Arabidopsis thaliana: one gene and its partners. The protein of the gene in region 3 interacts with the protein of the main gene of each other region in a pairwise test. Each region holds a gene or a part of one and is shown on either strand. Other genes may lie near its edges. The genes, in order: CAM3, CNGC1, PTR2 and ATERDJ2A.

The links.
Region 1: the proteins of PTR2 (region 3) and CAM3 interact in a protein complementation assay, tested with the Arabidopsis thaliana proteins (one large-scale study listed by BioGRID).
Region 2: the proteins of PTR2 (region 3) and CNGC1 interact in a protein complementation assay, tested with the Arabidopsis thaliana proteins (one large-scale study listed by BioGRID).
Region 4: the proteins of PTR2 (region 3) and ATERDJ2A interact in a protein complementation assay, tested with the Arabidopsis thaliana proteins (one large-scale study listed by BioGRID).

The regions. Positions count from the first base shown.
Region 1 is NC_003074.8:21,033,355-21,039,684, forward strand, and holds CAM3 (calmodulin 3), read right to left. Parts: upstream 2,813-6,330; 5' UTR 2,567-2,812; coding exon 2,491-2,566; intron 2,001-2,490; coding exon 1,627-2,000; 3' UTR 1,180-1,626; downstream 1-1,179. Other genes in the region: AT3G56790 (RNA splicing factor-like protein), read right to left, coding at 481-1,101; AT3G56810 (uncharacterized protein), read right to left, coding at 3,573-4,123, 5,126-5,573. UniProt on the Arabidopsis thaliana protein: Calmodulin mediates the control of a large number of enzymes, ion channels and other proteins by Ca(2+). Among the enzymes to be stimulated by the calmodulin-Ca(2+) complex are a number of protein kinases and phosphatases. Activates MPK8 in vitro.
Region 2 is NC_003076.8:21,535,813-21,543,979, forward strand, and holds CNGC1 (cyclic nucleotide gated channel 1), read right to left. Parts: upstream 5,218-8,167; 5' UTR 4,910-5,217; intron 4,764-4,909; 5' UTR 4,679-4,763; coding exon 4,650-4,678; intron 4,573-4,649; coding exon 4,002-4,572; intron 3,918-4,001; coding exon 3,705-3,917; intron 3,614-3,704; coding exon 3,327-3,613; intron 3,232-3,326; coding exon 3,120-3,231; intron 3,046-3,119; coding exon 2,809-3,045; intron 2,720-2,808; coding exon 2,018-2,719; 3' UTR 1,909-2,017; downstream 1-1,908. Other genes in the region: SPDS3 (spermidine synthase 3), read left to right, coding at 130-206, 297-500, 739-843, 932-1,004, 1,089-1,160, 1,281-1,473, 1,557-1,686, 1,773-1,841. UniProt on the Arabidopsis thaliana protein: Acts as a cyclic nucleotide-gated ion channel. Can be activated by cyclic AMP which leads to an opening of the cation channel. May be responsible for cAMP-induced calcium entry in cells and thus should be involved in the calcium signal transduction.
Region 3 is NC_003071.7:484,475-491,706, reverse strand, and holds PTR2 (peptide transporter 2), read right to left. Parts: upstream 4,310-7,232; 5' UTR 4,166-4,309; coding exon 4,109-4,165; intron 3,854-4,108; coding exon 3,536-3,853; intron 3,458-3,535; coding exon 2,901-3,457; intron 2,826-2,900; coding exon 2,000-2,825; 3' UTR 1,766-1,999; downstream 1-1,765. Other genes in the region: AT2G02050 (NADH-ubiquinone oxidoreductase B18 subunit), read right to left, coding at 1,372-1,683. UniProt on the Arabidopsis thaliana protein: Peptide transporter. Mediates the transport of di- and tripeptides. High affinity, low capacity transporter. Can also transport histidine.
Region 4 is NC_003070.9:30,067,216-30,075,911, reverse strand, and holds ATERDJ2A (DnaJ / Sec63 Brl domains-containing protein), read right to left. Parts: upstream 6,394-8,696; 5' UTR 6,243-6,393; exon of another isoform or gene 6,200-6,242; intron 5,924-6,199; exon of another isoform or gene 5,921-5,923; 5' UTR 5,890-5,920; coding exon 5,704-5,889; intron 5,626-5,703; coding exon 5,530-5,625; intron 5,440-5,529; coding exon 5,319-5,439; intron 5,205-5,318; coding exon 5,098-5,204; intron 5,012-5,097; coding exon 4,794-5,011; intron 4,686-4,793; coding exon 4,508-4,685; intron 4,431-4,507; coding exon 4,311-4,430; intron 4,089-4,310; coding exon 4,002-4,088; intron 3,842-4,001; coding exon 3,731-3,841; intron 3,515-3,730; coding exon 2,675-3,514; 3' UTR 2,472-2,674; downstream 1-2,471. Other genes in the region: AT1G79950 (RAD3-like DNA-binding helicase protein), read right to left, coding at 103-148, 257-540, 626-782, 944-1,091, 1,187-1,268, 1,359-1,507, 1,581-1,846, 2,096-2,332. UniProt on the Arabidopsis thaliana protein: Required for integral membrane and secreted preprotein translocation across the endoplasmic reticulum membrane.

The DNA of each region.
Region 1 (6,330 bases), on a different chromosome or scaffold from region 3:
TTCTACTGAGGTGTTTCACATTCTCTTGTGTTTAGGTTTTTATTGGCCTTCTGTTTCGTTGATCATTTGAAGCTATTCAATGAGCCCCGTTAGGAAATCAATTTAACGTAAACTGACTGCCATTGATAGGACCTAATTTGCATTTAAAAAAACAATGACACTAGAGACCTTTAATAGAAAACCACGAACTAGACCAAGTTACAAATTACAAGAGCAAGACAACAGAAATAACAAGGCTTTTGAAAATATTCAGACGCAAAATAGATCATAAAGGGATATAACATTCGTTTCTTAAACAACCAGAAAACATACCTCGAGTCCCACACAAAAAAAAAATTAGAACATAACACAAGAATTTATATGTAAGAGATGCAAACCAAGTTTAGAGCCATTGTTTGGTTCCAAAACAGCATCACTTAGCCATCATGACCTTAACAAACTCTTCATAGTTAATCTGTTAAATGAGAAGAAGGAAACTCTTCATAAGAAGAAGTCTTGGGTTGCTAATTCAGACGCAAGAACCTTCATTAGGTTGCTCAATTTCACCTTTGATTTTTGTGGTTCAAACAACGCTTGTCTAATCATCTTCTGTTTCTCCTTTTCTTTTGCCACACGCCTTAGAGTTTGCAGTTTCTTCTCTTCCTTCTTTGTCAATTTAAAAGGTTGGGGAGGTTTAAGAATATTCTGAAAAACATCTTTCTTGTGTTTGTTGTTGTTAACCATCAATGTACTAAGATTAATCACATGCCCATACTCATCTATTTCTCTTCCAAGTACATCTACACGCAGAAAAAAGCCCTTGGTCTGTTTATGTGCAACAGCCGTATCTATTGCCAGCTCCTGAAATCGTTTAACAGCTTCAAGGATTTGACTAGAAGTAGTGTCCGATGCAATAGAACAAGTATACGGCCTTTTCTCAAACCTAGCTACATCTTCAAACCTAGAACTCTTGTTTGTCGTCCTAGCCGCCCCATTCTCTTCCTCTGATCTATCTTTCCTCTTACTTCCTTCGTGAGACCTCTCATGATGATGCTTAGTCCTATCTCTCTCATCACGATCGTCACGGATGCTCCTGGAATATCTCTGCTTCTTGTTATCCATGATGAGACAAATTTAGGGGAAGTATGAAACGAACGTGAACAAAGAAACACAAAGGTATTTTACCTATATTCACATCAATTGAATGATCCCAATTCAACCACGAATAGGAAACTTTATGCCGTTTTCCTTTTTCTTAAACGACCACGAATTGGAAACTTTTATGTCGGTTTCTATTTTTTTAATGATACACACCACACCACGTTTTGACCTTTTTAGTCATTGATAGGACCTAATTTGCATTTCACAAAACCATGATACAATGCTTTACTAGAGAGACACCATTAATAAAAAACCGCGAACTAGACCAAGGTTACAAATTACAGGAGCAAGACAACAAAAAAACAAGACTTTTGAAAATGTTCAGACGCAAAATAGAGCATAAAAGGGATAAAACATTCGCGTCTTAAACAAGCAGAAAACATACCTCGAGTCCCATGAATAAAAATTATAGAACATAACATAAGAATTTATATGTAAGAGATGCAAACCAAGTTTATAGAGCCATTGTTTGGTTCTAAAACAGCATCACTTAGCCATCATGACCTTAACAAACTCTTCGTAGTTAATCTGACCATCACCATCAACATCAGCTTCCTTGATCATCTCATCAACTTCTTCATCAGTAAGCTTCTCACCAAGGTTTGTCATCACATGGCGGAGCTCAGCTGCTGAGATGAAACCGTTCTGGTCCTTGTCGAAAACCCGGAATGCTTCCTTGAGCTCTTCCTCAGAGTCGGTGTCCTTCATCTTACGAGCCATAAGGTTCAAGAACTCTGGGAAATCAATGGTACCGTTACCATCAGCATCCACTTCGTTGATCATGTCTTGAAGCTCTGCTTCGGTTGGGTTTTGTCCAAGGGAACGCATCACAGTACCCAGCTCCTTGGTGGTAATGCAACCTACAAGCAAATCAAGAATTTGTTCATCATTCACTTCTCTGTAAATCTAATTCAATCAAATATCTTCAATTACGAAACTCAAAGCAGGTTTCTCTGTAGAGAAGCATTTTAGCTAGATCCCAAACTTCTCAATTAACAGTTTCTAGTCATTAACTTCTCAAATCTAAAGTGAGATAAAATAATTCAGATGGAAAATTAAATCCAAATCGATAACAAATTGGCAAATCTCCAAGTCATCAATCATCCAAATTTCGATTCAAATCCAATCCAGGAAACAAACGAACAAAAATTGAAAAACAAGGAACGAGTCTAGAGATCACGAATTACAGATCCGTTAATTATCTACATCGACACAGATCAATTGAATCAACAAGAAGAACAGAAATCAAATCAGTTATGGCTAGACACCAAGATCCAACAGTAGCAAAATCCTATGTATTCAAAAACATTTGAAATTGCGAGAGGGAGAGAGAAAAAAACAACAACGTACCATCACCATCCTTGTCGAATAAGCTGAAAGCTTCCTTAAACTCAGAGATCTGATCGTCGGTGAGCTGATCCGCCATTGTTTTTTTCTTCTCCTTTTCGTGAAACCTGTAGATTCAGAATTTTTTTGTTTTCTCTCAAAACGAGAAAGAAGAAGAAGAAGAGAAAATTAGAAAAAGTGTCTCTGCTGGAAAAAACGAGAGAGCAACCGTATTTATCGGGTACGAAGCTATTAACGACTTTTGCTCCGACCCGGGACTTTAAAAGCTTTTTTTTTTAACCCGTACCGGGTTTGGAAAAATCTCTGTTATAACCTCGGATTATGACTGTAATTGCGTTAATGCTATCATCAATGATTTCTTTTCTCTTATAAAACGCCAGAGTGGACAATTAAACGGATCACACGTTCACGCGGTCTGTACGCGGAGCGTTGACTTGACTGTCACGTCAGCATTCTCGCTGGGTCCTCGAGATCTCTCTCAGTACAGATGTCTGTTTATGATTGGCTTCGCTTTTGAATTTAAGTAGTCCTCCTCACCATTGAAAACAAATAATTAGTTTCTTTTATTGTTAACTTAAGTACAATATCACCTGCAAATTAATTAGATTAGATTTCGTTTTCAAACAATCAAAATCACTTCAAGATATAATTGATACGTCTAATCAATTTCTTAATAAATTCTATGATTAAATTATGTATATAAGGTAACTTAAGAAAGGTATATATAAAGAGAAAACGATCGAGTTTTAAAATATAGGATGAGTTATTAAAAAAAACATTAATATCTGTATCTAGATGAATATATTGTTTCTGATTTTGTTAATCATTCATTTATTTAAGGAAATCTATGTAGTACTAGTATATACATGAATTCATCAAATAGGGAAAGTTTTTATATTGAATGCAAATAGTGTATCATTCATTAAACCCTAAACAACCAATTGCACTCTATTGAAAGATATGTCTTAAATTCTGAATAAGCTAAGAAAATTATAAAATAATTTAAACAACAAGTGTCATAGGTGAAAATTGTCGCAACTATGACTTCCATAACCGTCACAACGAACCTAAAGATATCAATCGCATCAAAACACTAATCTTCTTCGACACGCGTCGAATGGGAGAGAGTTGCTGCTGCCACGTCGGATGTGTTGGCCTTTACCTCCTCCGCCGTAACAAACAGAAGAATCCACCGGCGATTGATAAAACTCGTCGTCGTCGTAGTCAGAGAAGGAGAGCTCTCGAACGGTCTCTGCGATCAAGTCGCGACAGATGTGATCATGAAGAGCCAAACCGATTTTAGCGACCTCTCTTCGTTGACCAGATGCCACGTCATCACAAACTTGGTTCACGCTCTCCATCAAGCTCCGTCTTACCCTCCGCACCACAAGGGGCAACGTGCCACATGACTCTGTCGTCGTCGTTGACGTTGATCTCTTGGAAATGACGTCATGAATGGAGTAATGATCGGGTCTAGTGATTAGATTTATATTGTTGACTTTGTAGGGTTTGTTGTCTTTGCAGCAATATTCGTGATGGTTCATCATCGACAACATCGTGTCTGTGTCTGGTTCGTGTTGTGTCGTCTTCGTGTTCTTCTGCGTGTGCGTCCCCACGACGACATCTCCTGCCAGTACTGTTGGTTGTTTGTTAAATAAGACGAAAATAATTTATCAGACAACTTGTGTGTTTAGTATATAAATTAGTACGTTGTCACACAAATATATATAAACTATTACTAGCGAATAATAAGACTCAGGCATACATGAAGTGCTTGTAGAATCATTTTTCTTTAAAAGTGGTGTTCTTGATTTGGTACCATAAAACAGTATGTGGGTCAGAATCAGGAATAAATCAAAGAATGGGTGGGGGTCCAAATGATGGGAAAAGTTAAAGTGGGCTTCATGACTAAAGGAATAAAGGCCCCTAAAAGCTGTTTCTTCCTTCATCATTTGTCTAACATGCCTCTTTCTCCTCACACTTTCTTTACTCTCTTCTCCACTTTAATTTGATCCTATCAGATTAGACTAAACCTCATTACATAATTAGCCCCACCGAAACTTAATTGGGGTCCATACTATATTGTCTTTATATAATTTTGAACACTATCCTCAATATGACAACAACTATATAATGATCCAATTGTTAGAGCAATTAGATGTGACATCAAAATCAAATAACACAGTTTATGCATGCATGAAATTGTTAGAGCAATAAGATGTCTTTATCAATATACTTTTATTTGTATATACCAAAATGATGAGCCTGTCTTCCACTATTGGACATACTCATGATTTCAACACCACCAAATTAAAGAGACAACTCTTTGGCCTTCCCATTCTATCTTCACTCTTTATTGCTACTTTAGTTGACACAATGTTCACTTAAGTTTACTACTTTAATTTATTTATTTTGAACAACAAAAGATTAAAATACAAAATTCCCTGATAATGTGCTACAAATTACGGACCACATCAATTCTCCCACATTTTAATATGAATTTTTCTTTCTTGATTTTTGTTAAGTTATCAATAAATAAGAGAAGTTTTTATAAGTGAAAAAAAAAAAAGATGATTTCGACATGTTTGTATTAAACGTATAAGATGACCAAAACACTGACAAAAACGGAGAAACGTACCGGTGCCGGAGAATTTAAAATTCTCACGTGTGGTCGGCGGAGAAACCTCAAGTCTCTTGTGAAGAATGTAAGTGGTTTTGATGACGTCGATGGTTCTTCTTAGCTCCTCTAAGTCCCGATCACATTTCTCTAGTGCTCCGACTAGACTAACTCTCGCCGCATCTCCCTCTCCTTCATTGTGCGGAAGCGGTGGCGCAACGATTCCTCCGCCTTGTCCGTTTGATGAATCTTGCGGAGGAGAAGCGTAAACGACGGTTCTTTGTTCTCGCTTTTTAGATCCCAAGGTGATGGATTTGCGGCGGTTGAAGGTGGAGAGGAAGAGGTTGAAGAACCCGGGGAGGCAGCCGGAGGAGACGGCGGAGGAGTTTGAGTTTCTCCGTGGAGGATTATGGTTTTCCCGCCATGAAGATGAAGGAGAAAGCAAGTTCTCTCGTTTACTCTTCTTCATATTCCTCCTATCTGTTTTTGTTTTTCTCACCTCTTTCTTTTTCTCTCTATCTAAAACCTTAAATTCCCATTTAGTCAAAAGAAATTATTCATTTCAACGGTAAAATTATAATATTATACCCTTTTTGTGATTTAGGTCTCCATGCTTTATTTTTATTTTATTCTCCTTTTCACTTTTGTTTTACGTTTTTTTTTTTACTTTAAGGTTGGTCCATTTGCACATGGCAAATTCCAAAGCATTGACACTTTACTTATTAGCTATAGACATTATAATGTCATTTTTTGGCTAGACATTATAGTGTCTTTCATGTTTTGTTTCCTATTTTGAAGTTTAATTAGTGCTTACTGGCTTACAAAGTAAATTATCACTCAACTCTAGATAAACTTCAACTAGACCTTCGAATACAACATGATGGGGATTCCATTAACAAAATTAAGAACCCTAATCAAATACTAGGCATTTAGGAGTTTAGCACAAGGCTCTATGAGAAACAAAAGGGCATTATTAAGAGTGTTCTTTAAGATTCATGACCTTGTGCATGCTGGACAGAGAAAACTTTTAGAGCTTTTTTTATCAATCCTATAAGAATTAGATATTTTTTGTACGAGTAATTGTAATTGCATCATTAATGGCACTCTGTTTTGAGACCATAAATCATTTACACGTTTGAAGAAAACAATTTATGCTTTAATTTAACAATTTTCGGTAAGCAGAAAAACTAACACTGCTCACAAATTTTACATGTAGAGATATATTT
Region 2 (8,167 bases), on a different chromosome or scaffold from region 3:
ACGTTTTTTGTCTTTGAATGAGCGCCTACTTGGTTTAGATGCTGAATCTGTATGTTAAAGTTTGTGAGTTGTAGTTTTTCAGAGTGCTTGCTCATGTGACTGATGCAACTGGTTTATGTTTAATTGTAGGAGAAGCACACTCACTGAAAGTTGAGAAAGTTCTGTTCAAAGACAAGTCGGATTTTCAGGAAGTCCTAGTGTTCGAGGTTTGAGATAGCATCTATGCTTTTGTCCGATTGTTCTTATCATCTGAGTCTTTCTTCTATTAATTGAGGCTGTTGTTCTTCTTTTTGCAGTCAGCCACGTACGGAAAGGTGCTTGTTCTAGATGGTATCGTACAGCTGACCGAAAAAGATGAATGTGCATATCAGGAGATGATAGCCCATCTGCCTTTATGCTCTATATCTTCCCCTAAAAATGTAATTTCTCACCTTAAAAAGTTTAGTCTCTCTGGTTTCCTATATCTTGTAGCCTGTTGCAATAAATCAGTCAATCTAAAAGTATGTTCAATTTGTGATGAATGTGCCTCTTTTTGGAGAATATGTTGGAACACAATGCGATTGCGTTGTTGTAGCTCTCTTCTTCCTATATGATCTCATGAGATAGCTCTTATCGCAAATGATGACTCATTCCAGTACATTGAAATGTAGAATCAGCTCAGATTAAAATAGGGAATTGTCAAGCTTACACATTTTACTTGCGTATTAATGCTGGCCTTCGCTGTCTAAATATTTGCAGGTTCTTGTTGTTGGTGGAGGTGATGGTGGTGTTCTTCGAGAGATTTCTCGCCATAGTTCTGTTGAGGTTATTGATATCTGTGAGATAGACAAGATGGTTATAGATGTAAGTTTTTGGTTTTGTGCTTGCCATATGTATGAACAATTTTTAGTTATGTTCTATCTCAGAAAGTGGGATTTCTGTGGTCTTGTAGGTGTCTAAGAAGTTCTTCCCCGAGTTAGCGGTTGGGTTTGACGATCCTCGTGTTCAACTTCACATTGGTGATGGTAATTAAGCATTCTTCTACTTGTTCTCTGTTCACAAAACGTAGTCAAAAATTTGCTTGTGTTGATATCACTTTCCTCTGGCAGCTGCTGAGTTCCTCCGTAAATCCCCTGAAGGGAAGTATGATGCCATCATTGTTGATTCTTCAGATCCCGTAGGTATGATTCATCTGCAAAACTCTTTGGATATCTGAGTGATTCTTATTTTGTTTTTCTAAATCAAAACTCGGTTCAGACTTCAGCTACAAACTCTCACGTTTTCACTCTATATAATCATAGGTCCTGCTCTTGCGCTTGTTGAGAAGCCTTTCTTCGAGACACTGGCTAGAGCGTTGAAGCCTGGGGGAGTTCTTTGTAACATGGCAGAAAGTATGTGGCTCCATACTCATCTTATTGAAGATATGATCTCCATTTGCCGTCAAACATTCAAAAGTGTTCACTATGCGTGGAGCAGCGTCCCCACATATCCAAGGTTAACTCTACTTTTCTTCTGATTACATTGTGTGATCTCACTGAAATCAGAAACATGAATTGAGCAACATATCTTCATTGCAGCGGCGTGATTGGTTTCGTCTTGTGCTCTACTGAAGGACCAGCTGTTGACTTCAAGAACCCAATCAACCCTATTGAGAAACTAGACGGTGCGATGACCCATAAAAGAGAATTGAAGTTCTATAACTCTGATGTAAGTTTAACACAACTATGACTTCCTCATTTACTGTTTTAGATTAACTTAAAGCAAAATCCTGATCTATCTTTTTACTAAAACAGATGCACAGAGCCGCATTTGCTTTGCCCACATTCCTGCGGAGAGAAGTAGCTTCACTTCTGGCTTCTTGACTTCTGTTTGGCTCTACCATATCCCTCATATCAAACTTTGTAGAACTCTTGAAGAGGAATAATAAATCATTGAAGGCTTTGTATCTCTAAGTTTACTCCTTTATAAAAAGACTTATATTTATATATTGGCTCTATGGTTCGCAATAAAATCTTTCATATACATATATGCTAATTAATTAATCATCACTGTTGAAATCTGGCTCTGCTGGTTTCTGAAGTAGCATAGGTGGCATTCGTTCCGGCATCCTTGGTTTCCTTACTGATCCGCTCCTACGTATTGTGCGCAAGATATTTGCAGCAAACCGTGATGCGTATATTGTAGCACCGAGGCTTGGGGAACTTCCACAAGCTTCTTTAGCCAAAGCATCCTGCAACCGATTCTCTTCTTCTTTAAGAGACTCTTCGAGTTTCTTCTTAATGTATCTTCTCCAAGCGGCTTGTATGAAGCAAGCGGCCCAAGTCTTCCATTGTTGTGAGTAGTACCTGAAAGTATGTCTTAGCTGTTTGCTGTGAAGACGTCTGAACTGGGAAGCCACGAATTTGAGGTCATCAGCTTTAAGTGCGAAAGCTTCAACTTCCATGAGAGCTCGAACAGTTCTTGTTGAGATTGGGAGGTTTGAGGATGAGTGTGGGTCTAAAGCCCAGGTTAAAAGCTCCTCACCACAGAAATCACCGGCTCCAAGATACTCGGAATTTAAAAAACCGGTTCTTCCACCGTTTGTTGTGATTGTTAGAAGCTTCCCGCGCATTATGAAGAGCATTTCGTCTACCGGATCTCCTTCTCTTACTATGTAGCTTTCCTCTGTGTATAACACAGGTTGCAAACGGTCACAGAGCGCATCAAGAAGCTGTTCGTCCATTTTCTCAAACATGGGGACCTAGAACCAACAAAAACAAGATGCGGTTACGAGTGATGTTGACAATAAATGAGAAATCGAGTAAAGAGAGGAGATGATTTCTTCTTTACCCGCATGAGAAGGGCGAGACAGAGATGACGTTTGATGTCGCGTCTAAGATCTTTGGGAAGATTACTAAGAAGATTCTCTTCGTCAACACCTCTTGTCTCTTGCCATTTGTACTGCTCGTATCGCCGGATTCTTTTTCTCAAGTTCTCAGGTAGCAAACGGTGTGACATCCATTGTTCTGCGTCTCTTCTCTTTACCCTCATCTCCTCCAATCTCGTGGTAGTGGATTGCAGATACGTCTGCCATTTAAAAGAAAAGCAGTAAGTAATCGATTTCGCAAACACTATGGCATATTAGATGAAATGAGACTAACCTGCATATTTCCAATCAAGAAGGAGAACAAAACCAGCCCCGCAATAGAAATGAACACCGCGAAACAGATTTCCCAAATATATGTACTTGTTTTAAGGTTCTGACCGAGCGAACTGGATCACGAAAACAGAACAAAGATGCAAGAACTTAGTGTTGAAACTTTTCTTCATAAGAAACGGAGAAAATTTTGCTGATAAATTCTCAATACCTGAGGTTCTGCAGACCCCACCAGAAACAGTAAAAAAACTTTTGAGGGAAATCTTGAGATTCCACTACACCGGATTGAAGTGCGTCAAGGAATATCCCAAAGTCGAAGAGTGTTGTGTTTGGTGTCTGAATCGGACAAGACTCATTGAGGAAAGCATTGCCTCCTGCAGTTTCAGGGTCACAGTACAACAACTTCGAAATGCACGGAGGGTTATTCCTCTCACAAGCTTGTTTCCAGCACACCGTTTCGCGTTCGATTGAGAACAAATACCAGAAAGCACCAAACACCTACACATTTACAGGTATTGACCAAAAATATTATATATCTAAACTCTGAAACTAAAAAGGTTGGGACAGTTAGAACCAATTTGGCACTCACATGACTAGCAAGCATGTAGAGGAAGAGATTGAAAGCAGCTCCAGCCCAAGCTGTCTCAGTGAGTATGCCTGAAGTTCTTGTAACTTCCTTGTAGAGCGGATATATTCTTATAAACCTCGGTATATATTGGAAGAAAACAATAAACTTCAACATATTCTTCGTGTTCAAAGACGATGAACCTCTCATATGTGGAATGATTATCAAAATCACCATCTGAGGAAAAACACAATTACTCACATTACTCAAAGAATCAAGCTAATGATTTGGAAATGCAAACAAAACCAATCAATGAATCACCTGCGGAAGCGGAAGAACAGCAAGAATGTCAATTATGAAATGTGAGGACAAGTAACGTTTAGCGATCTCTCGCTTGTCCTCAACAAGAACACCTCTCCCAAAAACACGAGACGAAGGAGCGATAAAGCCAGTACGGAACTGGAAAATGATGTGAAGGACATAAAAAACATCAGTGAAAGAGCGCAAAACGCTTGCTGTTATTTCCATTTTCTTGTCAATACCAAGACATTTCTTAGCATCATCGATGATAGGCACGTAGAAGAACAAAGGGTCAAGCGAGACAGCGATGATACAAGCTAAAACAAAGATCTTGTTCCATCTCTGAAGAAAAGGTCCTTGTGGGTCAAGAATTTTGTGAGTAGAACCAATCCCTTTTGAAACAGCTTCTTTAAAAGAGTAAGACTTGTAAGATCTTTTGAATAGTTTGATCCTTGCAGAGCTTGATTCAAAGCTTCTGTAAAACTTGTCGGAGATTGAGCTTATTGTTCTCTGGAATATTCCAGTTTGAATCTCGTTTTTACCGGAATATTCCACGTCGGAGGAAGTCTTATCCGACTTCCAATCTTGAAACCTGATCCGAGAAAGTGAAGAAGAATCGAATTAAGCTTCACGACTTAGAATTCAATGAGACAAATCTGGAACACTGACCTTACAAACTTCTCTTGTCGGAAATTCATAGTTTGAGACTAATAAGATTCAATACAAACAGAGATTTCACTGCTTCATGTGTCTTCTTCACCAATTAGAGGGAAATTCATAACCCTGATTCAACAAACTTCAATTCAATTCAACAATTTCGATTTCAGTAAAAATCAAACTCAAATTTCAAAACTTTCCAGTGTCAAAAACGCAATTCGACTAAACAGCAAAAAAAAAGGAAGAAACTTGTTTGAGGTAAAAAATCAAACCGAACATGGACAAGTGTGTTTGCTTCCGACAATCCTGTAGACTTTTGAGGAGAACAATAAGAACCAATAAAAGGGCAAAAGAAGAAATCACTGTTTAAACCCACCAAAAAGAAAAATCAAATCTTTGTTTTGTTTTTCCTCGGAAAGAGCGAAACTAAAGTGACCCAGAAACTAAAGAAGAGAGGAAGCTGATAAAATGAAGAAATTGGAGAAAGAGAGAGAGTGATGAAGAAGAAAGAAGAAGAAGAGATTGAATGATGAAAGTGAAGCCTTTATCAGAGGACAGAGAGGACGGGGAAGGAGTTTCCACGAAAGTCACAAACTTTTGCTATTTTATCATTTTTTTCTTCGATTTTCTTAAATTTTGTTTCACTGTTTTTGTTAATTTTTTTAAAGTTATTCCAAAAAGACAGTTATACCTTTGCAGTCTTTGATACTTCAAAAAGATTTCGGACCAAATTTAACTTTGACTATTAAGTACGAAATCTTTTTTAAATTGAGTTTTTAACTTCACCTTTTAGTAGAAAAATATGTTCTGAATTGAGTTGTCAGTTTTTTAGTAGACGAATATGTTGGAAGATTACAGAATTCACAGGCTCACAACAATAATATATGTAGTTTTCAAAAGTAAAATAATGCTACATTTCCTGATCCTCTCATCCATAGATGTTGAAAGAAATATCTTTATCAATCATGTATTTTTTTTTTGTCAATCATGTATTTGTTTGCACACAAAAAAAAAGAGTCAATCATGTATTTTTAAAAAAATAATGATAATTTTTTGACAATTCCATATACTTAATTAAAATAACTGTTTATGCCATTTAGCAAAGTTTCCTATAATTTTTTTTATAGCATATATTATAATTAATTTTTTTAGATTGCTTAGATTTTTTTTATATACATTCCATATATATGTTGTTTGGTTATGGGATCAAATCAACTTAAGCATGTAATAAATTAGAATTTGCTGACAAAAGAAGACGTAGTTACGGAGTTAATCAAGGCATTTCTTTATTACAGTCGAAGACATTAACTGATATCAATGTTTAGGCATACAAAAACTTCATAATGATGTATCATTTTCGTGGCAAACTTAAATTCTGTAACTGACTATTGTTCTCTATTTTTGTAGGTTTGATTTTTGTCTTTGTAATACGTCGAAGTTTCGTGTTGATGAGATAATGTCAAATTTCGTAAACTCAGGCTTTTTGTTCGTATATTTCAATGCACAGTTTCATTTCCGCTTGTATCCTTTTTAAAATCGTGTATATGGTAAATCGATTTCATAGATTTGAATAAAGTTACTTAATATTTAGTTTTATGTTAAATCACGAATGATTTAGATTATAGAAGGAGATGACATAATTTGGGAAAAAAATATGAGCCTTTTTAACATTTGAGTTCTTAAGTATTTTCAAACTGTTAGTCCTAACTCCTTCATGACATGTTTTCTTTTCTTATGTTGGTGAAACATCCTTTGATCAAAAAACAAAAAAAAAAATGGTGAAACATCATCTCTTCTTTTTTTCATCAGCACCAAAAATTTCAAACTTGCAAACGCAGACGAAAAAAGAAAATCACATTTGCATTTGTAGCTACTAAAACCATGACCATGATTAAATTTATCTCCACCAAATTTCTTTTGTTAAGAATAAAAGGATGATAAGTTAAAGATATAGCCCGTGAGTACTTGTCGATCAACCACGAACCAACCCACGTGTCCTCTTCCTCTTTATCTTCTCATTTTTACCAAATTTTGTTCTCCACAAATTTAGACCGTTAAGTTTAAAATTAAATTTGAACGTCTATTATATTACTCAATTGATAGTTTAATTGATACTGATAATTAAGTGCTAATAGAGACCGTTGACCGTATCGTGTCCCTGATTGTACGTTGTCTTATGAATGCCAAGGGAGGTTCCTAGCTGTCGGATTTGGAGACCAGTCTCAAGATTTTATCATTGTTACTACTTCATAATCCAAATTTGTCTAAACATTGTCAACTCTTATTTAATTGTTTATACGAATAAAATACTATTAACATCGAATTCAAACTATCAAGACCTTTGAATATGGACGATATGAGTCAAAGTCAACCATCTTCCCACCCGTAAAATTATCACAAGAAAAAGACATTTGTAAGAGTATCTTTCTCTTCTTCGGATTTGAATGAAAAATGACATAATGCTGTTGCTAATGCAGTCATGGGATCTACTCCTTATATTCCACCTCCTGCAATGACTGCATCAAGTCTTGATCTCAGTCTTTTTACGACGGATCAAGTCCATTCTTTAATACAACAACTCAATACTCATCTTCATGTTCCGGAGCAGTCAACTCCCTTTCCATCAGCTACCATCACTGATCATGGAGCTATGGCAACTACTTCTACAGCTGGTAATGTTTCTATTGAATTTCCCTCAACAAGTTTACGATATGAAAATCATTCTTTCACATTTCAACATCATTGTCTTTCATCATTATATTCCATTTTGCCTCATGATGCTTGGATAGTTGACAGTGGAGCTAGTAGTCATGTTTGTTCTGATTTGGCAATGTTTAGTGAGACTTTTCCTGTTACTGGTATTACAGTCTCACTTCCAAATGGCACTAGAGTACCCATTAGTCACACAGGCACAGTGCATATTTCATCCACATTGACTTTGCATAATGTTTTATATGTTTCAACATTCAAGTTTAATCTCATCAGTGTTAGTTCTTTACTTATGCATAATAAATGTTCAGCTCATTTCTATCATGATTCATGTTATATTCAGGACCATACTCGGGACTTGACGATTGGTAGAGGAACTCTCATACATAATCTTTACATTCTGAAGAAAGAAGATACATTGCATTCATCAAATTTCTGTGGATCCTTGATAGTTGATGATCGTCTATGGCATCATCGCCTAGGACATCCATCATCTGCCAAGTTACAACATCTTTCTGGTATTTTACCTATGACTAAGTCTGCTATTCATGATCATTGTGAAGTCTGTCCATTAGCTAAACAGAAAAGGTTACCTTTTAGTTCAAATAATCATTTGTCTGAGAATCCATTTGATCTTATTCATTTAGACGTTTGGGGTCCATTCTCAGTAGAGTCTATAGATGGTTTTAAGTATTTTCTCACTATTGTTGATGATTGTACTAGAGTTACTTGGGTCTATATGCTAAGGAATAAAAGTGAAGTTACTAAAATTTTTCCTGTCTTTGTTAAATATGTTCATACACAGTATAATTCGATCATTA
Region 3 (7,232 bases):
AATCAAATCAGGAGAAAACAAAATCATTGTCATGTTGAAGAATCTTAGACCAAGTATTTAGGGGTCTATCTTTATAACAGAGAAAACACCCATTGGTGTCAAATCATAATGGCATATACAATGAACAAGTAGTGAAACACATAAGAACGATATGAAAAAGGAAAGAATCACACAAGCATGCAAGAGTACTCAATGGCAAGTGAGAACAAGAAGATGAGAGACATTAAGAGATTTGTTCTGTAGCTGTTGTGACATAAAATACCAAAACAACAAAGCAGAAAACGTTTAGACACAGGTATGTAGTTGGTGCTGTAATTATACAATTCTTCTCACGGATTTATAAGTAACACAAAGTGACTGTACCAATTCTTAGCCATGAATATCTGAGACACAATTTACAAGTTCACAAAAGATATATATCAATCATAAGAATTTCAAAGCCTAGAAGTGTGAGATCATAAATCAAACATAAAAGATATAGTCTAACGAATAGACTTGGGTCTAGTTAATCAGTGAAACTCTCTTGTATCCTTTTTAAGGGTCTGTAACACAAAGCGACTGTAACAATTGCTAGTCATGATATCAGATTACAAGATCTTAAAACAGAGAACGGGCAAAAGAAGTTGTAAACACAAAAGATATAGTCTAACGACTTGAATTGTGTCCTGTTAAGCAGTGAAACACTCTTATATCCTCTACGGGTCTGTAACACAAAGTCACTGTAACAATTGCTAGTCATGATATCTGAGACACTATTTACAAGTTCATCGAACATATAACTTGCAAACATAAAAGATATAGTCTAACGAATTGAATTGTGTCCTGTTAATCAGTAAAACACACTTAAATCCTTATATAGTCTAAAGGTTCCAGCAAATTAGTGCTACTGATTACTTAAAGACTTATCTATTAAGCTTTGAAAAGGAAACATCATGAAAAAACAAAATCTGTAGAAAATCCAGTCAATGATGGAATTTTCCTTATCCAAACTTCAGATATCATTGAGATACTTTACAACAAGAAGTACAAAGTCCAGACATTTCTCTAACATGATTGATACAGAACAATTGTGATTGCAGTCTAAGAGAAATTGAATCCAATTGTAGTCAAATGTTCACAACAGAGGCAACAAAATTGCTAAGACGAGAGAATTCACAATTCAAAACCAAGATAATGCATTAGACATCTAATTGAACAAGCAATCTCATTTATTCCCAATGAAACCCTAATTTGGAATTTGAAGAACACGAAGATCTGATCATGTAGCAGAAGAAACAAACCAATTCAATCAAATCAACCAAAACACAAGAAATCGAAAAACTATAGACTAACCGGAATCTGGAATCGGCAAATTGGAGAAGGAATCGAATCCTAAGCATTAGCAGTTTTAGGGATAAGAGGAACAGCAGCGTTTCCTTGTAGTTTATTCTGTTTAGCCAAAGCTTCTTCTTCACGGATCTTCTTCATCGCAAGCATTCTCTCCATAACAAGCTCGTATTCACACTTCTCATAAACGTGACGCTCGTCTTCACATTTCCATGGAAGGTAAAACTCAGCCTGACGACATTTGTTGAGCGGAATCAAGAGATGAGCGCACATATCTCTAGATCCAAGTGCTATTTTAGCTGCAGACATCTCTTCTTGCGTTGCGATCATCTTCTTCGATGAACCTGGAACCTCCATTTTCGCGATCCCCAAACCTCACAACGATACTCTCTTCTTCTTCTTCGATTTTATTGACCCGGAACATTCTTCTTCTCCGGGTCATATTTGTGCCCGTTTGATATGGGCCAAAAGCCCATTTGATTTACTAAGCCTATGGACAATTTCTCTCAATTTAGTATTCGAACCCTGAATTGTTTATAATATTGCAAATGCGACTTAAACTTTTGAAATTGAAAGGAAAAGTACACAGCAATGTTGTTATTGATACAGAGACAGTTACAGTTGAAAGAAACAAACTTTTGTATGTAATGAAAGTAGATAGATAACAGCATTACTACGACGAAGCTTTCTTTTGCTTATACCTAGCAGCAGAGAAGAAGTAAACCGCCATGTTCACAAGGCTAAGACCAGCCAAGAGCCAGAAGAAGTAATCGAGATGACCTGAATTGAGATTATCCGAAATCCAACCTTCTTGCCCATTTCTTGTTGTAAAATAAGTCACGAGCGTGAGGATCAACGAGCTCAAGTAGTTACCAAGTGCATTGGTCAAAAGAGCCAAGGCACTGCACAAGCTTCTCATTGCATCTGGAGATTGGTCGTAGAAGAACTCGAGCTGACCGATGAAGTAGAATACTTCGGCTGCACCGAGAATGAAGTACTGTGGAATCTGCCACAAGACGGATATGGGAACTGGGGCTCCTGACTCGACTAATCCAAGATCGTTGGCCATATGGAGACGGATGATTTCGACGATAGCTGCAGCTGCCATACAGAGAACAGAGACAAACAGACCAATTCCCATTCTTTGTATCTCAGTGAATCCTTTGTCTACTCCTGTGAACTTTCTTGCTAAGGGAACGATGAACCGGTCGTAGAGCGGCACCCAGATGATGACGCTTGCTGTGTCGAATGTCCCGAGTGCTGCAGGAGGAAGCTGGAATGATCCAATTTTGCAGTTCATGGCTCGGCCTTGTTGAACAAACATTGTGGACATTTGTGCGTATACAGCTGAGAAAATGATACCAGAAGCCCAGATTGGGAACATTCGGATCAGAATCTTGAGTTCTTCGACTTGCGTAACCGTGCATAGTCTCCACGAGTTGGAATAATCTCCGGATTTCGATTCTTCTTCTGAGATAACAGCGGCTTTGTCAAGATACCTGCATCATACCAGAATAACTTGTTAAACCAAGTAAAGCTATACATTACTGGAAAGCAATGAAGCGGATATTTACTGGCAATCATCGGTATGCTCGATTTTTCTACTTCCAGCAATAGCAGAGTTCTTGTCTTGAGTTTCATACAGAAGTGTGGCGTCTTCAGGGACTTTGACAGACGATTTCCGGAACGAAGCAACCACGACTTGGGAAATCCGAGTTATAGGGCTTCCTCCAGGTTTCTGAAACCTATAAAGAGGTGTGCCAAAGAAGAAACTTGCAATGGCTAGTCCCATGAACACTGTTGGTATCCCAAACCCTAAACCCCACCCGCGATTCTCTTGAATCCAAACTAGAAGACTAGATGACACAAGTGCTCCAATATTGATGGAGAAGTAAAACCAGTTAAAGAACGAAGCTTTTCTAACTCGTTCCCGAGAGTCCGTGTCATCAAACTGATCGGCACCGAAGGATGAGACACACGGTTTGATACCTCCAGTTCCAAGAGCGATCAGGTAAAGCCCACCAAAGAACATCGCATACTGAGCTGGCGTTGCAGATGGACAAAAGTCACCAATACATTCCGCTGGCTTCAATGCCGGAACTGAAGCTGAAAGAGTTAACGCAGACATCCCCTAAACAAATACAAAAACCTATCAGTAATCAGGAGCAAACAAACCAAACCAAACATTACACAGAGAAGCAATGCTTACGATGAAATAAATCCCGGAGAAACAAGCGATGGTCCAGTAACGTCCCCAGTAAGCATCAGCCAGAACAGCTCCAATGAGAGGAGTGAGATAACAAGTCCCTTGCCATGTGGTAACGTTTGTAGCAGCAGAAACATTTCCTTGGTGAAGCTTAGTGGTGAGGTAAGTGATTAAATTCCCAGCAATACCATAGTAAGCTAGCCTCTCACAACATTCATTACCAAGAATAAAAGGACAAGCTTTCCAGTTTCCTGTTTTCTCCTTCAATGGTGGGTTTCCATTAAAGTCCACTGAACCATCTTCAGCATACAATTTCACTTCCTACTTAAAACAAATTCACAAAACATTTTTGATTAGCTAACTAAACTATAACTGTATCAAAGCTCGAAACTTTGATCTATATCTACTTGCAAAATTCAAACATTGGAATCATCAATTAGATAAAACAGTGATTGCCCAGAAAAGATCTCAATAAACCCAGAAAGAAAATGCATAAGATCAATCTAAAGTCAAGATTTTGGAATTGAGTAAAATCAAAATTCGCTAACCTAAGTGATTAATTGAAATTGAACAAACCTGTAAAATTAAACCTTCTTCGATGAGAGGTCTTGCTTCTTCTTCGATGGAACCCATCGTTTTCGTTTTTTGAGCTGAACCAATTTAGATTCCTTACGTTGAAGCTACCTATCTAACGATACTCTATTATTTATCGGAGACGTGACGGCTTTTTATTTTACTTTTCCCGGCGACTTATTGGAAAATAAAAATCAAAACTTTGATTATAATAAGAGAAGTAATTAACAAAACTCATCTTTTTACGAATTTTTTGTTATTATTATGACGTAAAGATAGAATTGTGGATCAACCTGTTACCTGTCCATGTCTCAAGTTGTTGATATCACTCTAATCAAGAATTTTTTTTTTACATATATGTGTTTCTAAAACAATACATCATCAATACGTTGTTGATATCAGTAAATCGTTTGGGGACTCAGATAACAAACAGTAATTATCAGCCAATCTCTCTATAAACCCTGAAAGAACAAGAATGCTCAATAATATGTAGCTCAAGTCAGCAAAATTAGGAGAAATGGAAATTAAAACTCGATAACCTAGATCATTAATTGTACGTTGAAACTATATAAACTCTCCTATTATTTTTTGGTAAATGTGACAAATTTTTTATATTCCTTTTCCCGGCGAAATTTGTTTTTATTGGACTATAGACATCGGCTTTGTTTACATATTTTTCTAAGGTCTGTGCTTAAACTTCAAATGGGAATTATATATATATATATATATTTTCTTTGTGATTCACATAGAAATTAATTTGTGTTTTTATCACAAAATCATTTCATAACTATATGTGGCCAACTTTGATTGATTCCACAACTTGATTCATAGGGTGCATAGAGAATGTGGTACGACCATCTATAGATTCATCATCCATCATCTCTTGTAAGAACAAAATCATTTGTTTCTATATCAAATAAGGTGTTATAAAAACTAAAAAAAAAAAGATTCTCCACAACTTGAGTCCATAGAGAGTGTGGTACTACGACCATCTATAGATTCATCATCCATCATCCCTTGTAAAAACAAACTCTTTTGTTTTTATATAAGATAAGGTGTTATAAAAACTAAAAAAAAAAAATATTCTCCACAACCCAAGAGAAAATTCGGTAAAACAAACAGCTTTGAGAAAATGAAAAAGAACACAAATGTATGGTGCAAAGAAGAAACTAGTCTCAAGAGAGAAAATATTGATTTTATCTAATACTCTACAAAAACCCAAAACTCTTGAAAACATAACATAATTTTCTCAAATGTATTGTGCAAATAAGAAACTAGTAGAAAATAAATGATAAGATTGATTAGCTATTGACTAAAGAAAACCTTTAATTCTATACACAAATTTTTTCGAGAAAATAATTTACCTTTCGTTTAACGAAAGATTAGAATTTTTTTTTACATTTAGCGATACTTCGCTGGGATAGAAGAAGTGATGCTAGTATCTTATCCCATCTCTTAAGTCCGTAATTTTTTATCCCCTCGAGTAGAAGAACAAGTAGAAGATTATCTTCCTGCGATTTCATTCGTCGTATATTAAAAAGGGTATATAATTTTCTCGAAAAGTATTTGAGAAATATAAAAATAAGGTGTAGATGAATTGAAAGAGAGATGATAGATGGTTTAGGGCAAACAAGTGAAGTAGAGTCTAGATTATATAGGTTTGTGTAAGTATTTGTTTTTTACGTGAGAAATTATTTTAATGTGGGCTTTAATATTATTAGTAAGTAATGTGTGGCTTTATTCTTTTGCTCATTTGGATGATTAAATTAGGCAAAATTTTCAAACTCATTTGACTAAACATAATTGGACAATTTGAATGGAGATGGATTAGTCAAAATAACAAATGACAAATATGCTCTAATTCTTCAAACGATCATTTTGTTTATAAAATTTTATATAGAAAAACTAGATAATCACAGAAAAAAAAACAAAACAATCTGCCTATACGATTACAAAGTGTTAAGAATTTATATGCAATGAGTCGGAATCCTAAACTAAGAAACATTTTTTATAATGATCGGTACAAGTATGTAACCGATCAGTTCTGGACATCTTATGTACTGACTCTTACGATTGTCAAGGTCGGTCGTGATCTTCAATCTTTTTTCATTTGATGCATTTTGCTGATTTGCTCTATTTTCCTAAACTCCCAGTTTTATCCAAACAAATCCAAAAACTTTACTTGACAAGAAAATTCAATAATATATACTACAAAGACATAAAAGTGTTAAAAATATATAATAATTTAACAAATTTGTTTTAGTTTTAGTTTTGTGAGTTTGTTAGTTTGTTAAACGGAGTTGTTAACAAATTAGTTGTTTTCTTGAATTAATCAATCTACTTGTACAATTGGTTTTATTAGTTAACTGAGTTAGTTTCTCTCTACTCTTTCGTTTACGTTCTCTCTTTACTTTAGCTTCAATATCCAAACAGTGATATTGATACCTTTGGAAACTATAAAACCATAAATGTCGAATAACTCACACATATTTACATATAGTGAAAAATATTACAAAATATTACAATCACAAGAAGAATAATTAATTATGTAGATACCACACACATATATATATATATATATATATATATATTTATATATAATTAATTCTTTTTTTTGTGCAAAATTTACAATAATTAATTAATATATGATTTCATGTCTCTTTCTTCTTACTCACACGTGATTTCACTTCATATCTCTTAACCAAAATATACAATAATTTTTTTTGTTTGATTAAAAAAAAAACCATAAATGTCGTATGTGGTATAGGTAGTTTCACTTGATGGACTCATAATCAGTTGAAATAGTTAGTCTTAGATCAAATATAATTCAGGTTTAAACACACACAAAAAAATCAAATATAATATTTCTATACTCTATCTATGATTATCTATGATGAAAAAAGAAGAAAGATTATTCATGGCTCAAATTTTAAGTCAAAAAGCCTCAAAACTAAGAACAAATCTCTAATTGGAATTGTGTAATTTATTATGTTGTAAATATATCCTAAAGCCAAAACAGAGGGCCATAAATTTCAGTTTGCAACACAAAGGCCCAAACATTTTGAAAGTACACACAAGAGCCTCCATGGCATTAACCCAATGCCAGATAAGAGAGATCAAGCCTTTT
Region 4 (8,696 bases), on a different chromosome or scaffold from region 3:
ATTACTATGTTTTCAAATTAGCAAAACGGCGTTTTTGTTAATGCTTTGGGACAGCAACAATGTTTTGTTTTAAAGGCTTTAGAAAATCGCACTCTTATTTACCTTTCATCACATCAGTAGAATTTTGCTCCAGCTCCTGTACATGAACCTAACAAAGGACGAATGAGATGGTGTAAGAGAAAGATAATTTTCTTTTCAACTTAATTATAAAAATTCGACACAGAATATAAAGAACAACACTCTTCTTAAAACTTACACGATAAACATCTGCATGGTTACTTCCATTTTCTCTAAAGATCAGCTTAAGCATGTCAGCAATGATTTCTAGTTTGCTTCCAGCGTTGGTCGCTGTTCGTTGTTTTTCCTCCTCCAGGAACACTGCAGCCTCCTCAACTGTACCAATGAGTTTAGGAGCAGTTTCGTGAGTGATGTTAAGGCTTTTAAGCATTTCATATATGTAAGGCCCAGGCTTGGTAAATCCCTCGTCCCTTTTGGGAATTGGCACTTTAGAAATCAGTTCCTGCAGCTTAAGAAGCAGTCCTGCAAGAGAAAAACAACGATAGATGAGAACAGGCATTCATGTATAACAGAACGTTGTAATCTCAGTCAAGGCCTAAAGTTTGACCTTTAAGTATAGCAAAATTCTCAGGGTTTATGGAAACGTCATTTAATGAATCCCTTCTTGCTGCCGCAAGTTGTACACATTCTTGCGCTTCAGAAATGCAAGCCGATAAAAGAACAGAAGGAAGGTCAAATGAAGCAGAGTCTGCGCATAAACTTTCCTGCGCATGTTTTAAAGATGAACTGAGTGTTTCGAGAAGTTGGAAGCAGTATAATCGTTTGGTAACCCGGAAAAATAGAACAAAACCCCAAGAAACGAAGAGTTCATGATGAACAGAGAATACATAAGGAAATTATATGTGAAACAACATTAGTCCCTTACCAGATTGTGCGCTTCATCAAAAATAAGGACACTATTAGTCCAGTTGACTTTCAAAAACTTTCTATACCCATTGCTGATCAAGTAGTTGTAAGGTGCAAATATGATGTCCACGTCCTTGTGAAGCTCTCTTGTGATATAATAAGGGCATCTGAAAAATACAAATATAGTACACAGATGGAAAAAGCCAGGAACGTAAGAAACGAAAATATTTGTTGAAGTAGCAAAAAAAATAGAGGAACCTACGGTCCAGAATCTTTTCCAATATTGACCAAATCCTCAATGTCAACAGGTTCGTCGCCAATATGAGGGTTATGCTTCAAATAATCTACAAAAGATTAAAGGAAAGGGAAAAATAGTAACCATAATTCATAAAGAAGAAGGATTTATAAATGGTCGTTTGATGATGGCTGTGTACCTGGAAGGCGATTGAAATGGTTGCATTGGCGTTTACCGCGCTTTTTGCAAAGGTACTGACAGGCATTAGTGAGTGCTTTGCCACGGAGGGAGTTGACTTCCTCATTAACGCATAACTGCTCCCGTGATCCAAGCACCACCATCTTAGGCCTACAAAATTGATTGAGAAGAGATGATGAGCAGGTAGCTATAAGGCAGAAACAGAATTTGTGGTGTGTCCGACCTGTAGCTACTTCTTTTTAATTCTTTGATCACTTGGCGGAGCTGACTATGAGTCCGGGACGCATAAACTATGGTGGGAAAAGCTCCTCCTCCTCCTCCTCCGGATTGTGACAGAGGCTCGTCTGAATCGGACCAAGGAATGGCACTGTTCTTCCGATCCTTACGGGTTGAGAAAGAGCCCAGACTCTTTCGCCAGGCTAAGGTGGCACAGAGAAGACAAAGAGTTTTCCCAGTTCCCGTAGGACTCTCCAAAAGCGCATGACATTTCTGCATCATCATCACAAGTTATAAACAAGATTAGTTAACAACTAATTCAGCGTTAATTTAAGAACCCAAATGGTCAGTGTGAACGGGGAAGAACCCTAAAAAGCGATATAGAATTGGGGAAAGCAAAATAAACAACAGAATAGAGAGAGAGAGAGAGAGTATCATCACGCGAATATCATCATCAACAAAACAGTTGAAGAGAGTTGGTGTGTAAAAAAGAGAGAGAGAGAGAGGGAGAGGGAAACCCACGTTTTGAAGAGACTCGATGACTCTGTCCATGTATATGATCTGAGACTGGTACGCCTCGAATGGGAATTCAACATTGATTCCTCTGATGCTGTAATTTGGCATTTTCGGGTCGGATTCCGCCGATAACACCACAAAACCTCTCCGGAGAAGACGAAGAAGAAGACGGAAGCAGACGCGCCTCTTCTGATTTTCCCGCCTTGTAGGGCTTCCACTTCTTGAAACAACCGTAAAGCCCATTATAACCCACTACTTTATTAACAAGGCCCATTACCTGATACCTGATGGTCTGTATTGGGGCCCCCAATAAACCCTAAACCCTAAACTATTTGGGGGAGTTAAAAAGTTTTGTTTTGTTTTGTAATGCTGTGTACCAAAATTTGTCCGAGTTAGTACGATTTTCTCCTTAGTCGCGTTTTGCTTGTATGTGTGTCTCTGAAGAAAAGTGATACAGAGAGAAAGAAAGAGAAGGGAGCCAATGAGAGAATATCAAAACTGTGAAAAAGAAGTTTCCGTCAAGATTCCAGGACAAAAGTATTGTATTTTTTGTTTTGTTTATCAATGTAAAATCTCATTTCTGTTTCACTCTTCCTCCGATCCCGACTCTTCAGAACTCGACTCTTTCTTCTGTTTCACACTCCCATTGGCCTTCTTCGACCCTCTCTTCTCATCCATATCTTTCTTCTCATCCTCATCTTCACTGTACTCACTTTCGTAATCATCATCGTAATCCTCCTCCTCAATCTCATCTTCCTCCTCCATACCTTCTTCTGCAATCGCACCCTCATCTGAAACCAACCCACGTGTCCCTGCCCTGGTTCTTTTCAGGACTTTCACTTTCAGTGCTTGCTTTTTGTCACACCCGATCCATGTGTCACACAGGCAGAAGCAAGTCAAGTTGTATGTTCCCTCTGCCGGTGCTTGGAGTTTACCCATGACCAGCCTTGACCCTCCTTTAACCTTCTCAATCGCTTCTCTCACTGCATCGTTTGTTTCCTTCACCCCTGCACCCGAACCTTCCATTGACTCACTGATGGCTTTTGATGCAGCCGTTATCGCTCCACCTTCATCCAGGAAGCTAACCTTCTGAGAGAACCAAACGTTGTTCGACACTGAATCAGCCAGAAGAACCCAATAGTTTTCCTCCTTGTGGAAGGGGAAGTAGGGTGCATGAGGAAGAGCGCCTACAAGCCCATTGGGTCGTTTCAGGGTGACCCAAGCTTGAAGGGTCACAATGTCTCCCTCTTGGATCCCCTCTTCCCCTTCTGTTTCACATGTGATGTCGACTGTAATAGACGGCATCATTTCTAGCACCTTCTCAATGTCCTCAACATCAGTTGCTGATAAACCCGCTACCTGAGTAAGTAGTTCAGAACGGTCTTCCAACCTCATTTCTTGAAGATCTTGGAATGATTTAACCTTCTGAAAATAGGAGAAACAATGACATGTTAACATAAAATGGAGGTTTATATATGTCTTTAGACTAGACCTTTAAGTAAACCAACCTAAAGAACCACTACTACTTATTTGGAGAACAGAATCCAACAAGATTCTCAGGAATCAAAAAGTGAGAGAAAAATGCACATGATATGGAACTAGATATTAGTACTGCACTTGACACATTTGATAGTAGTATACCTTCCGTGCTATCTTTTTGACAACGGCATCACTGAAATGAGGGAGCTGTAAGAAAGGGGAAATGCCTTCTGATGATACTCCAGAAGACTTCCTTGCACTAAGAGGAACAGCCTGCGATTTTGGATTTTTAGTTTATGTTCCTAGACAACAACACTAAGCACTTCTTAAACTTTCAGGAAGAAGTAAATCTTGTGGAGAAAAGAGACATAAAGAACTGAAAGCTCACAAACAAATAAAAACTAGAAGATAGGCGATGAGAGCAATTTAAGACCTGAACAATGCACTGAGATAGCTCAACTACTCCAACTGCAGGCCTCAGCCATCCATGCCCTTGGGCAGTGCGTGGTATAACCGCCATCTGCAAGAAACTCACAATGTTATAATGAAAGAATGGTTAAGAAAACCACAATTTAACAGTGTAACCAAAAGCATCACTATTAACCTAAATTTCTAAGTCTTTTAAGAGTCTGTTTCGAGTTCCTCTAAAGGAAAATACATATCTTCTAGGTTAGCACTTTGCGGTCATCGCTTTTTGATGGTTATTTTATCAGAAATTGTGTTATTTAAATAGAGACTAGACCTTCAATAACTCCTCAAGGAGGCGAGGTGCAAGCTCTAGCACACGCCTGAAATCACCCTGAAGGGCTGGAGACAGGACTCCTGATTCACGAGTTAACTGGGCTTGTATCAACAGCTCGGTCTGTACAGAAATTGAGGAAGTGAGTATTTCAGTTTATCCAATATTTAGCATTACAGTTGCATAATTTTAAAATTCACCTTCACTATGGCAGGATGCTGTTTCCAAAACTTAGCTTGCTCTTGCTTCATGTTCTTCAGGTCCAAATTTAGTTCACTCCTAACAGACATAAAGAGCTTCTGCAGAGGTTCATCATCAGTTCTACGAACTGGAATCTCCATGTACTCAGCTGCCTTGGTGAAAACTTCCATAACTTTGCTGGACAATAAAAATTTTAAAACATGTCATACAAACAAACGAAAACACAGCCCATTTGTCATGCACCAATAGCATCACTTGAATGTATATGGGTATGAGTGAATATACCTTGGGGCCAGAGAGGGTTTCATTAGATAATAATATGCGGAGAGTGTTTGATGCATAACGTAGTTCCCAGTATACTTTGATGACCTCGAGAGATATATAACAGCAATCACAAGGGGCAAGAGAATACAGACACCAACTATCCAAAGCAATAATATGCCACCAGATGCTCCATCAATGTCTAGAAGAAATTGAGGAAGAGCAATGCCCATTTGAAATCCCTGCGATCACATAACAATATTTTAGTCTCAATAGGCTTGTCAATAAGACGGGAGCACATGCGAAGGGAAAGGAGATGTATCCTTACCTGTCTGCCATCTGGATGACCATACTTCTCAAAGTTTTCACGGGATACTGAATCAGTCAAAGCCTGGTATGCTTTAGATATGAACTCCACAAAATATTTATTGGCTTCTGTAGAGATCAACAAATGCGCATAGAAGAAAAAACTATCAGGATCAAAAGCTGCAACCATAATTCCGTAATGATCAAAAGGGAAAAAAAAAATAACAAGGGGAAAAACTTGACCTGGATCTGGATTTTTATCAGGATGGTATTGAATCGACAGCCTTCTATATGCTTTCTTTATTTCTGAATCTGTAACTCCAGGTTCCAGTCCAAGTATACTGAATGGGTCAAAAACTTGAGCCTGTAACACAAAAGAAGGTAAATAAGCAAGTAGAATTAGTTGATATAAGTCAGCGGTGCATTCAAGTTCAACAGCAAGCAATGGGATTACCTCACGGCTCATGTTCTTAGTGTAATAAATCAAGAAAATCATCACGACCCAGAGTAGCACAAGTGTCAAGTTGCTCCACGTAGAGAAGTTAGAGATCTGCAGATAGATAAGTGAAGAAGAGGTTAGGAACATGCAATAATCTATTACAGAGCAGGAGGTTGAGTGGAAAGTAACCTTTTTAAACAAGGATCTCTTATATTTTCCAGAACGGTCACACTCGAGACACTGACAATGAATGGTCCTTTGTTTCTTGGAGAGAGCACCGCTTAACTTGACCATGGTGTAAGGCACCAAAGGAATTGCCATAATCGTCAAGATAAAAATGGGAAACAATGCGCTATTCTCTTCTGACGCCGCCATCTTTGGAGCCTTTAAACTGAGAGATTCTATTCTGCTGAAAGGAAAAGCTCTGTTATAATCTCACAACATCCAAAAAGCTTCAAGGATACAAAATTATCAATAACATGAAAAGCTGGATCTGAGGCCACTGAAATTAATTAGGGATTCTACATGACGGAGATCAACACTAATAGATCTCGGCTAATCTAGTCTAAAGGTATATGAATCCCTGGACTCACTTTGAGATCGACACAAAACCTTAGAAAACAAACAAACGAAACTACGGGAAGGAAGCAAAACCAATAATTGGTGAAAGAAGATGAAATCGAACTTGAAAGGATATTGTAGAAGAGGAAATCGAAGAAGAAGCTCACCTAGGATGATAGCTCTCTATAATCAGAGAGATCGCGCTGCTGCAGATCGGCAACAAACGGCGTTGCAGTTTTTTTTTCTTTATGCTTCTCTTCTCTTCTAATTTCTGATTTCTGATTGGTGAGTTCTTTCTTCTTTACTTGCTTATTCACTTTTCTTTACCTTCTCAATTAAAATATTTCGCAATTCATTTCTCTCTTTACATTTTTACGAGTTATTTATTTTCCATTAAATTAGAGTAATTATTAATAGCAAAGTTTTTATGGTGAACGAAAACGAATTTCCCAAAAAAAATCACATTTTTTATAAATTAGAAAGGAAAAAGAGAAAAGGATATGGATCAAAGAGGGATTATATGCTCTAGAGATTTAATGTGATCCAGATATTGTAATAGGGATTGCAACAAATCTCTTATATGTTCTAGAGATTTAATGTGATCTAGAGATTGTAAATAGTTACAACAAAATAGAGATTTAAACAAAACAAATATTTAATGATTTTAAGAAAACTGTTTTGTTGTAACTATTTATATTTCGACCAGAAATAAATTGTTCTACTTGCAAAATACATCAATCTTCGTTATTATTATCGATTTAATCATAAACTGTCTAATTCAATTAAATTTATAAGAGCATGGTTACCAATACTTTTTTATCTACTGTAACGAAAGCTAATAATGATTTTGAATGAGTTTGGTATGATTTGGTTATTCGATTCACTAAAATAGTCGTTTTAAATCTAGCCAAATATCGTATAATTTTACTTGTTTTGATTATATTAAATAATCAGTTATTTGAAAACTTTGTTGACATGTTAATATTATATATAACTAAAACAAAATATAGATATTAAAAACAAAGAAAATGTTATTATATAGCTATTATCGTTTTTCATACCATTTAAATTTTATTACTGGCTTTCATATTATGATATTGTTGTACATAGACACCACTGCTAAAATGCTTATTAACTTGAGATTTTGCTTGTGAGATTTGGAGGCTAATTTTTTTCTCGGTTAAGCATTTCTCGCATCATATGCCTTCCACATAGTTTGAGCTTTTGTTCACCAAATGTTCTTACCACTCTCAAGAAACTGGCAGCACACGAATATGCTTTCCACATGGTTTGAGCTTTTCTCTTGGACAAAAACTCGTTCACCAAATGTTCCTACCACTCTCAAGAAACTGGCAGCACACGCATATGCCTTCCACATAGTTTGAGCTTCTCTCTTGGACAAAAACTCGTTCACCAAATGTTCCTTCCACTCTCAAAAAAATGGCAGCACACGGTGGAGTTTACCACATTTGAAAACAAGTAAATAATGTCTTACATAATTCACAGTCACTGCTTTCTTCGATCATTTTCAAGAATTTTGACCGTGAAATTTGCAATACCATATCTTCAAGAAGACATCTAAAAGGTTTTCGCAATCTGGTGATTAGGTTAATGCTCTTTTGTAATACATTTCTTTCATTTTATATATGATATTAACATTTATAACAAAAGAAAACAATCATAGCATATTGCATGTCATTGCAAGTTTGCTATATACAGTAGTTTTAAACCGAGTAAACTTAAGATCAGGTAGGAAAGATGCAAATAAAGAAGCAAGTGATACCAAAAATATATGTAAACATTTAATATAGTTCTTCAATCTAATTGACGATTAGAAAGTACTGTACTAGATGATTACGATCCAAGATTTTTGTCCACACTAAGAATATTTCACAAAATAAGGTTTGCAACAGTAGGATTGAAATGCCAGTAAACAGTGACATTATCTCGAAAAAATCCAACTCAGAAATCATTTACTAGCTAATAATATTTTTCAAATAGTTTAGAATTATTATTGTTGTTTATCATTAACGCATACAAAGTTAGTTGTATAATCTTTCAACTTATAAATAATTTGGTTTTGGACGGAAGAGCTTTACGCAAATGTATTAATTTGGTTTTGATAATTTTTATTTGTAGACTCGATTTGTTTACGTAAATTATGAAAGAGAGGCAAAAATAAATATCATAAGATATAGTATTAGAAGAAAAGGACATAAAAGTAGTAATTAAAAAAAAAAAGGAAAAGAAAGTGTGAAAAGAAAAAAGGAAAAGTAGAGAGGAACGCAACCCTGGGGGCTTCTTAATAAACCCCTCTCGCTCTCTTGTCTCTTCCTTACGACAACCTCTCCTGCTCTTCGTTTTCTCTCTACGACGATAAAACCCAGATTTGGGTTCAAGCTTCCATAACTTTAAACCCCTCTCGCGATCCAGGTATGTTTCCCAATCTTTATTCCCAGATCTTCCAGATCTGAAGCTCCTCTTCTATTTTTTCGTAGATTTGATTTTTAGGTTTGATCTATTTGTATGAATGGCTCGCGTGTTCTCCCGTATTGGTGATTGTAATCTAAAATGTTGATTTGATTTAGGTTCAGTAATAAGACTAGTTATCTGACCTGTGT